Macaca mulatta: one gene and its partner. The protein of the gene in region 1 binds, or shares a complex with, the protein of each later gene. Links are inferred from orthologs where the notes say so. Each region holds a gene or a part of one and is shown on either strand. Other genes may lie near its edges.

Region 1 (4,086 bases):
AAAAGTTGTAGCTGTCCAGAAATACCCCCAAACAACAATGAAATCAAAACCACCAAATGAGAAAACATACCTGCAAGACATCAAGTTAAAACTGCTAGTATTTAAAATTTTCTTATAAAGAGGCAATTCAGGAAGAAATACAAATAAATGATAAACATGAGAAAAAATGTCCATTCTCATTAGGATTCAAAAAAATAAAAGAGTCTAACTTGGCATGAGTGAGAGAGGACAGTTTGACACTATCCAACGTTTTAAAATATCCGTGGCCTTTGACCGCTGGGAATTAATCCCAAGGATTACATACATACAAGGCTATATGTACAAGGATGTTCACTGTGCCAGTATTTACATGAAAAAATTGAAAATCAACATTTCAAAGAACAGGATAGTAATAAATAAGTTATTTCCACAGACACAATGCTGTAAAGCCACTGGAAGCAAAGGTTTGAAAGAAAAGTTCATGGAAGCTACATCTGACTTAAGTATGCAGGGAAACAGATCATAAAACAACGCACACACAGATCACAATTCCAGAAACAAAACACGTGTGTAAGAGGAACAGAATGGCTGGAGGAAGGAATGCCTCACTGCTATGGGTAAGTTTCATCTTTCACTCTATTTTCCAAATCTCCTAGAATAAATATGCATTGTTTTATTACCCATGATCCTAAAAGCCCAATTAATGTTACTTGTTTTAAAGATAAGAAAACGAACCGTTTTGAAAGGAATGAGAAGTAGTCATGTTCTGTGTCTTGATCTGTAAATGCTCTACTATGTCTGGCTTACCCTGATTGCACGTTTTCTCTGGGCTTCCAGAATTTAAAGTGAAAGGCAGCACTCCTAAGCTCCGACTCCGATGCCTGCTCTTTGACTCCACAGCTTTCTTGACAGAATTCAGGATTGCAATGGTGCTCAGGGACATGGGTCTGTGGAGAACAGCCACGCGCTGACTTTCTCACTGCAGAGGTGACAGTGCTGCACCCCGTCCCCACGTGCCTCCTCTCTGGCGCATCCCTCACCCACACTCACTCAAACCTCCCAGGGCAGAGTGCGGAGGGGGTGGCAGGCCAGACAATGACAGTGCCTGTCCTGCCCATGCTTGGTGGGAGGGGTGGGGACGCCTCTGAGAACATCGCCCCAGAGAACCAGCCCTGATGTGGCCTCCAGGGGCTCTTTACCTGGCTTTGGGCAGCAGCCTCTGCAACGGCCCAGTTTCAGGTGCAGGAGATGCCACCGGTACGTGGCCAGCACTTGCCCTGTGTGTGCAGGGCTGGCTCACGGCAGGTGACAGGGCGGGGTTTTCTTGGCCAGCAGGAACTGGCGCTGTTTCTAAACATGGAGCAACCTGGCGGAGAAGATAAAGAGTATGAACCTTCTAATACTTTTTAAGTTTTTAAAAATTGATATATGATAGTTGTACATGTTTTAGGGGGTCCATGTGCGATTTTGATACATGTGTACAATGTAATGATCAAATCAGGGTAATTGGGATCTCTATCACCTCAAACATGAGTATCTTTTCTTTGTGTTGGGAACATTCCAATTCTTCTATCTACTTTGAAATATACAGTAAATTGTTAAACTATAATATCTCCACTGTACTGAATACTAGAATTTATTTCTTCTATCTAACTGTATTTTGGTACCCATTAACCAACTTCTCTTCATCCCCCTTCTCCCACCCCTTCCCAGCCTCTGGTAACCACCAAAAATCCACTCTCTTAACTCCCAGAGATCCACTTTTTTGGTTCACATATATGAATGAGAACATACAATCTTTGTTTTTCTGTGTTTGGCTTATTTCACTTAATATAATGTCTTCTACAATCATCCATGTTGCAGCAGATGACAAGATCTCACTTTTTATAGATGAAAAGTACTCCATTTTATATATGCACCCCATCTTCTTTATCCATTCATCCACTGATGGACATTTAGGTTGTTTCCAAATTTTGCTATTTTGAACAGTGCTGCAATCAACATGGGAGTGCAGGTATGTCTTCGACATCCTCATTTCCTTTCTTTTGACTATACAGTCGGCAGCGAGGCTGCTGGCTCATATGGTAGCTCTACTTTTAGTTTTTTAGGAACCTCTATACTGTTCTCCATAGTGGCTGTTCTATTTTCCATCCCTACCAACAGTGTACAAGCCATTCCCTTTCTCCATTTTAACACTTTTATTGGAATACAATCTTCACATACTATAAGCAAGTCCATAAGCAATGTACTTTGAAGCCTTATCAACGCTGGGTAAGTTGAATTTCCTTTTCAGAAACAGAATACTGTGAGAAAGCTGCCACTTGTAGATGCTGTGGCATGACATAAGAGAAAAAGGAGTACGCTACTTTGTGCTCATTGGTCTTTCCTACAAGAGATCTGCCTGCATTCCTCAGGACAGTGAGCAGCAGCTCTCCCTAGAAATGGCCATGGGCCAGTCTGCTCTCAAGAGGGCGTGCTGGGGGAAGATGCGAACACACTGACACACCCTGGCAGACCTAGGATCTATAGTCACCAGCCTCTGCTGCTGCCAGCTCACTTCCTGCACCACATCCTCGTGGAAGGGAGGTCTGGAGCACAGTAAATCCATCACAGACAGAAAGGCACAAGGGAGCAGCCAACAAGCAGCACTCTCGAGGCCTTTGGGCTGACTAACCTCTGATGACGGAGATTTTGAGAGGTGCTAGACAACAGACTGGTAGCAGACAGCAGACTGGACTGCCTGGTCACAGCACAGTGGGCCCCACACCTACCTGTGCCACAGGTGCCACCTCGGCACCTCCAGCCGTCCCAGTCACATCTGCATGCTTTGCTAGCTCTTGCTCCTGAGCCAGCTGTTCCTGGTACTTCTTCATGTCATACTCAAGCTCTGATGCCAGCTGTTTGTCAACTGCAAAGAAGTCCTTGACCTCATCTCGGTAATCCTGCATCACCTCCTAAAACAGACCCAGGAGCATCCTTTAATGTTTTCTTGAATAAAAAAGTAAGCCCTAAACCCCCATGACACACCTTTGCCTATGTTACAAACCTGCACATCCTGCACCTGTACCCCTGAATGTAAAATAAAAGTTAAAAAATAAAAAAGCCCCCAACATGACTTGATAAATAATAATAGGAACAATAAGACTGACATTACTGAAAGCAGACATTTCCATTCCAGTGACTAACAGTACAGTGGTACATTTGGAGCAAACACCACTGGCCACACGAGCAGGTAAATGTGTGAGTAACTAACAGCTCACTTTCTCAGGAAGCATCCTGGCCATCTGGCAGTTAATGGGCGATCTCTCCCAGGTTCCCAGTGGGAGAAAGACATGCTCAGACACAGCCTCTGGAGCAAGTCCCAGGATGCCACGGATCTCAAAGCTGCTCCTCTGTCTACATTAGCCTCCCCACTGGCTCTCAGGGGATTACAACTAAGGTTCAAATCCCATCTTTGTGTCTTCTGAAGATTTTACAGAAAACCTTTTCTCATACCTAGGGAAGAACATTCTTAGGTCTTAAAGAGGGCTGCCAGGAGCAAGACCACTTTGCTAAGAGAAAGAACCATTCCACCTAACAGGAACAGGGAGAAAAAGACACTGCAGTTCCAACTAGGAGGGAAGTCTCAACAAAGAGAAGGGATCCATGCACTCTTCCAGCTGCCACTAGGAGTGGGTTCTACAGGCCAATGAAGAGACTCCCTGAAGCTGCTGACAACAAGCAGCGTGTGGCCATCCTCTGGGTGTGAGCTCACAAGCAGGAGGAAGACTTATTTTTCTTAAGTGCTTAAGTAGTCTATGTAGGATCTAAGTTGTTTTTTTTTTTTTTTTTTTTTTTTTTTTCCTTTCTAGGGTCTAAAGCAGGGCAATAAATACAAGAATACTTGGAAGTTTTTATTTTTATCATACAATGAGACTATCTTTCCTACCTTAGCTTCCTAGTATAAAAAACTATTTGAAAATGTATATTCAGTGTAACTTTTATTGAGGCCTCTAGTGGAAAAAAAATTGTAGCATTTTTTACAGAGATATAACTGCTGAATTAAATAAAAACTACGTCGCATTTATTTCTTAGTAAAAGATTTTGCCAGAAACATCTGAGGCCCCA
Region 2 (3,792 bases), on another chromosome or scaffold:
ACAGCTGGGAACATGATGGGTTCCCAAAAAATGTTCTCCAAACATTCCCAGAAAAAACTGCCAAGGACTGCAGGGACTGAGTGTCCACATGAAAGGGTGTGTGACGTATCTCCAGCAGAGGGTGTGTTCTGAGAAACTCGGGCCATCCTCCTGAGTCCTAGCACCCTAGCAGGTGCAACAGAAATGCAAGATTTCTGAACACATGTCAACTGGGACTTGACTCCCAACCTTGCCCCGGCCAGGTTCCATGCCTTGTACCAACTGAATGAGGTGACATGATCACTCTCAATTCTGTTGCAGCCAGAACACTTGTATAGCACTGGAAATATGAAACCTTCACATCTTGATTTGCCACCACCACTATCATACAAGACCACTCAACTCTCAGGGCACAGAGTTACCTTTGATGTTTCAAGGGCTTTCAAAAGATGATTAAGTTTCTTTCGAGGAGCAGAGAGCAAGCACTCGCGATTCTTTGGATGAGTCAGCAGATACTCAATGTAGACCAAAGCCAATTCAGGTTTGACTGGGCGTGTGTCGTGGATCTGCACCCTACGTTTAGAAGCTGTGTTGCTCTGAAAGAAGAGAGACACTGATAATGAAAACACATGTCCCTAGAAAAGCATATCATTTCTAATACACAGTTATCCTCACTCACCTAATTTTAAAGAAGCATGATGTTAACCTACCTTGGCCTGGGCATGCTCTGTGGGCAGCCAGTTGTCCACAAGCTCCAGAATGTGCCCCACTTGCCCCCAGGAGCAGAGGCAATCCAACAAAGTGCAGTAGCTCTTGTCCACAGCGCCCTCCTCCTGGCTTCTTAGCGTGGAAATCACACCACAGCTGACAAGGTCAGATGGAAAATCAGGTTGAGTATTTCAACAGAAACTCCCCCACTTTGTCAAAAGGTGAGGAAAACCAAGAAGCTAAAATCTGACGGTGCATAAGCCCTTGTTATTATATTAGCACTTTCATGCTCTCCAAGGCGGGAATAAATACAGTTTCCCACAGTTGCTACACAGCTGCATCCCACCACAAGACCTGAGATCAGCTCTGGACGCTGAAGGAGCAGGGCACAGCAGCTACACAAAGCCCTCATCCTTCTGTTTCTGTGCCATCTGTCACGTTCTAGAGCAAGAGTTTCTACTCTTGAAGAATAATTTTTGTTTAGCATCAAAATACTCCTTTTTCTTCCATAAATATGAATAAACATAATTTTTACTGAGATAATCACCAACATTGTAGAGCTCTAATAAATTATGTGAGACACAAATGCAAGCCACAAATGTAATTAAAAATGTTCTACTACCCACATTTTAAAACACAAAGAAAAACAGGTGAAACTAATTTCAATAACATAATCTTATGTAATCCAATCTATCCAAAATCATTTTAACATGTAATCAATATTTCACACTCTTCTTTTTGCACCAAGGCTGACTCCATGTGTATTTTGTACTCACAGCATATCTCAGCTCAGATGGCCAAAGCTCAGGTGCTCAGGGTCACATGTGACCAACGGTGGCCTTGTGCTCCAGAACCTCCCACACCAGGTGCTAAGAATAACCCCAGACTTAAGGTGGAGTAACAGTTTCAGTTCCATATGTAGTCTCTGCTTTCATCAGTACCAACTTAGGGCCACTGAAAATCACATCCTGATATTTTCCCTACCACAGGGAGAGGGAAGGGCAGAAGGAAGAAGCCACAATGAGCTGAAAGCTAAATGTTTTGGTCTGCTGACATGAAGTAGTAACTCAGCACAACAATGGATAGGATTGCCACTTCACTACCGCACGGAAGAACAGAGCAAATACCTGAACGGAGGGACAGCAGAGGCCGGCATAAAGGACATTAGCATGAATAAAGGGATCTTGCAGCGATCATCCTAAGAGCAAAAGGAGAAAAACAAACCAAAGCACATGTGAACACTATAAATTCTGAAAGTGTCTCTACGTAAACTCTAATAACTTACTATCAAAGCTGGTCAAGAAGAACCATGGTAGTTCTTTCCATGTTCAAAGGGAAAACTTAAACCAGCCTCATGTTTGAGGGGCACAGAAAATTACTTGATAAGTGTTACAAAAGTTTTATATAACATTTTACTACTTTGCAAATATTTATTAAGCACTTGCTATGTACCCAGTGCCAATCTAGACCCTGGGAATATGCCAGTAAGCAGGATAAACAAAATCATATGCTGTCACGAATTGAATCTACTTTAAAAAACAACACTGATGAAACAAAAAAAAAAAAAAAATTAACTCTATGCACTTGGTATCCTGAACATAAATCTCAAGAGAAGGAAACTATTCAGAGAAAATGTTATAAAACAAAATCAGAATATCTTGAGGAAGACAGTATAGTTCAGTGGAAAATGCAGCAGGGCGTGGTTGCTCATGCCTGTAATCCCAACCCTTTGGGAGGCTGAGGTGGGAGGACTGTGTGAGGCCAAGTTACAGGCTACAGCAAGCATTCACTCCAGCCTGGGCAACAGGGCAAGATTACATCTATTTAAAAAAAAAAAAAAAAAAATGTCCAGACACAGTCGCTCACCCTGTAATCCCAGCACTTTGGGAGGCTGAGGCGGCTGGATCACCGGAGGTTAGGAGTTCGAGACCAGCCTGGCTAACACGGTGAAACCCCGTCTCTACTGAAAATTCAAAATTAGCTGGGCATGGTGGCAGGCGCCTGTAATCCCAGCTACTCGGAAGGCTGGGGTAGGAGAATAGCCTGAACCCACGAGGCAGAGGTTGCAGTGAGCCAAGATTGCGCCACTGCACTCCAGCCTGGGCAACAAGAGTAAGACTCCATCTCAAAAAAAAAAAAAAAAAAAAAAAAAAAGGAAGCTTTAAGGCTACTGAGCCAAATCCAGACCCAATCAGATTCTGTAGCCCAACAGCCGACATAGCACAGAGGAGAGGAGTTAAGCTCTCAGAGTCAGTTTCTTCCTCTGCAAAACGAACACAGGACTGTTGGAAGAATCAAAGTGAACTACACCACACAGAACCACAGTATAATACTTAGAGTGTCCTCAGCGCTTAGTAAACTGCAGCTATATTATTATTACTGAAACAATAAGTAAAAGGGGGTCCATCTACCCTTCATCAAGAACACTCAATAAGAGATACTCTTGGCTGGGAGAATGAGGACATAGTGAATCCTAAAAAATAATAATAATTTTCCTGAAAATATATATGAAACAGAAACAGACCAAAATCAAAATTTGATTAGTAATTAATCTGCATTCACAGTGACCCCATCCTTACCCCCAACTAACAATAAGGGAGGAAAATATCTCGTTAATGTTACAAGTATACTGATAATGATGGCCAATTCTATCTGTGTGGCTCACCCATCATCTCTTTACTTAGAGAAGGAAGCAATTTTCCCTAGTGGTGGAGAGACCTCCTATAGACATACTAAGAATTAACTGAATCCCAAGACCCTCTAAGGGTTTCCAATACCCCAAGGCCACAACTGCCCTGTCCGCCAACCCACCTGGTATCCTATATGGGCTTCTGTTCATATTCTGAAATAATGCTGGCTTCTCAGCCCCAGGTCATTATTTCAGCTTTCTTTCTTTCTTTTTTTTTTCCTTTTTTTTTTTAAGAGGCAGGGTCTCACTCTGTTGCCAGAGCTGGAGTGAGTGCAGTAGTATGATCATGGTTCACCGTAGTCTCAAATTCTGGGCTCAAGCAATCCTGCCTCAGCCTCCTGCATAGCTGGGACCAAAAGGCGCAGGTCATCAGGCCCAACTAATTTTTAAATTTTTGTAGAGATGAGGTCTCACTA

The links. The genes of interacting proteins can lie anywhere in the genome.
Region 2: the proteins of NCAPD3 (region 1) and NCAPG2 are in contact, whole or in part, in a cryo-EM structure (PDB 9F5W), measured with the Homo sapiens proteins. The link is inferred for Macaca mulatta from reciprocal best matches to the Homo sapiens genes NCAPD3 and NCAPG2. Residues at the interface, in NP_056076.1 of Homo sapiens: Glu1213, Lys1216, Ile1217, Pro1218, Leu1220, Gln1247, Ser1250, Glu1251, Tyr1254, Lys1258; in NP_001268861.1 of Homo sapiens: Phe291, Lys332, Pro333, Ile334, Trp336, Lys340, Ala341, Arg342, Arg347.

The regions. Positions count from the first base shown.
Region 1 is NC_133419.1:134,390,220-134,394,305, forward strand, and holds part of NCAPD3 (condensin-2 complex subunit D3), read right to left. Parts: intron 2,934-4,086; coding exon 2,751-2,933; intron 1,346-2,750; coding exon 1,179-1,345; intron 927-1,178; coding exon 787-926; intron 1-786.
Region 2 is NC_133408.1:198,087,226-198,091,017, forward strand, and holds part of NCAPG2 (condensin-2 complex subunit G2), read right to left. Parts: intron 1,886-3,792; coding exon 1,815-1,885; intron 844-1,814; coding exon 690-843; intron 576-689; coding exon 402-575; intron 1-401. UniProt on the Homo sapiens protein: Regulatory subunit of the condensin-2 complex, a complex which establishes mitotic chromosome architecture and is involved in physical rigidity of the chromatid axis.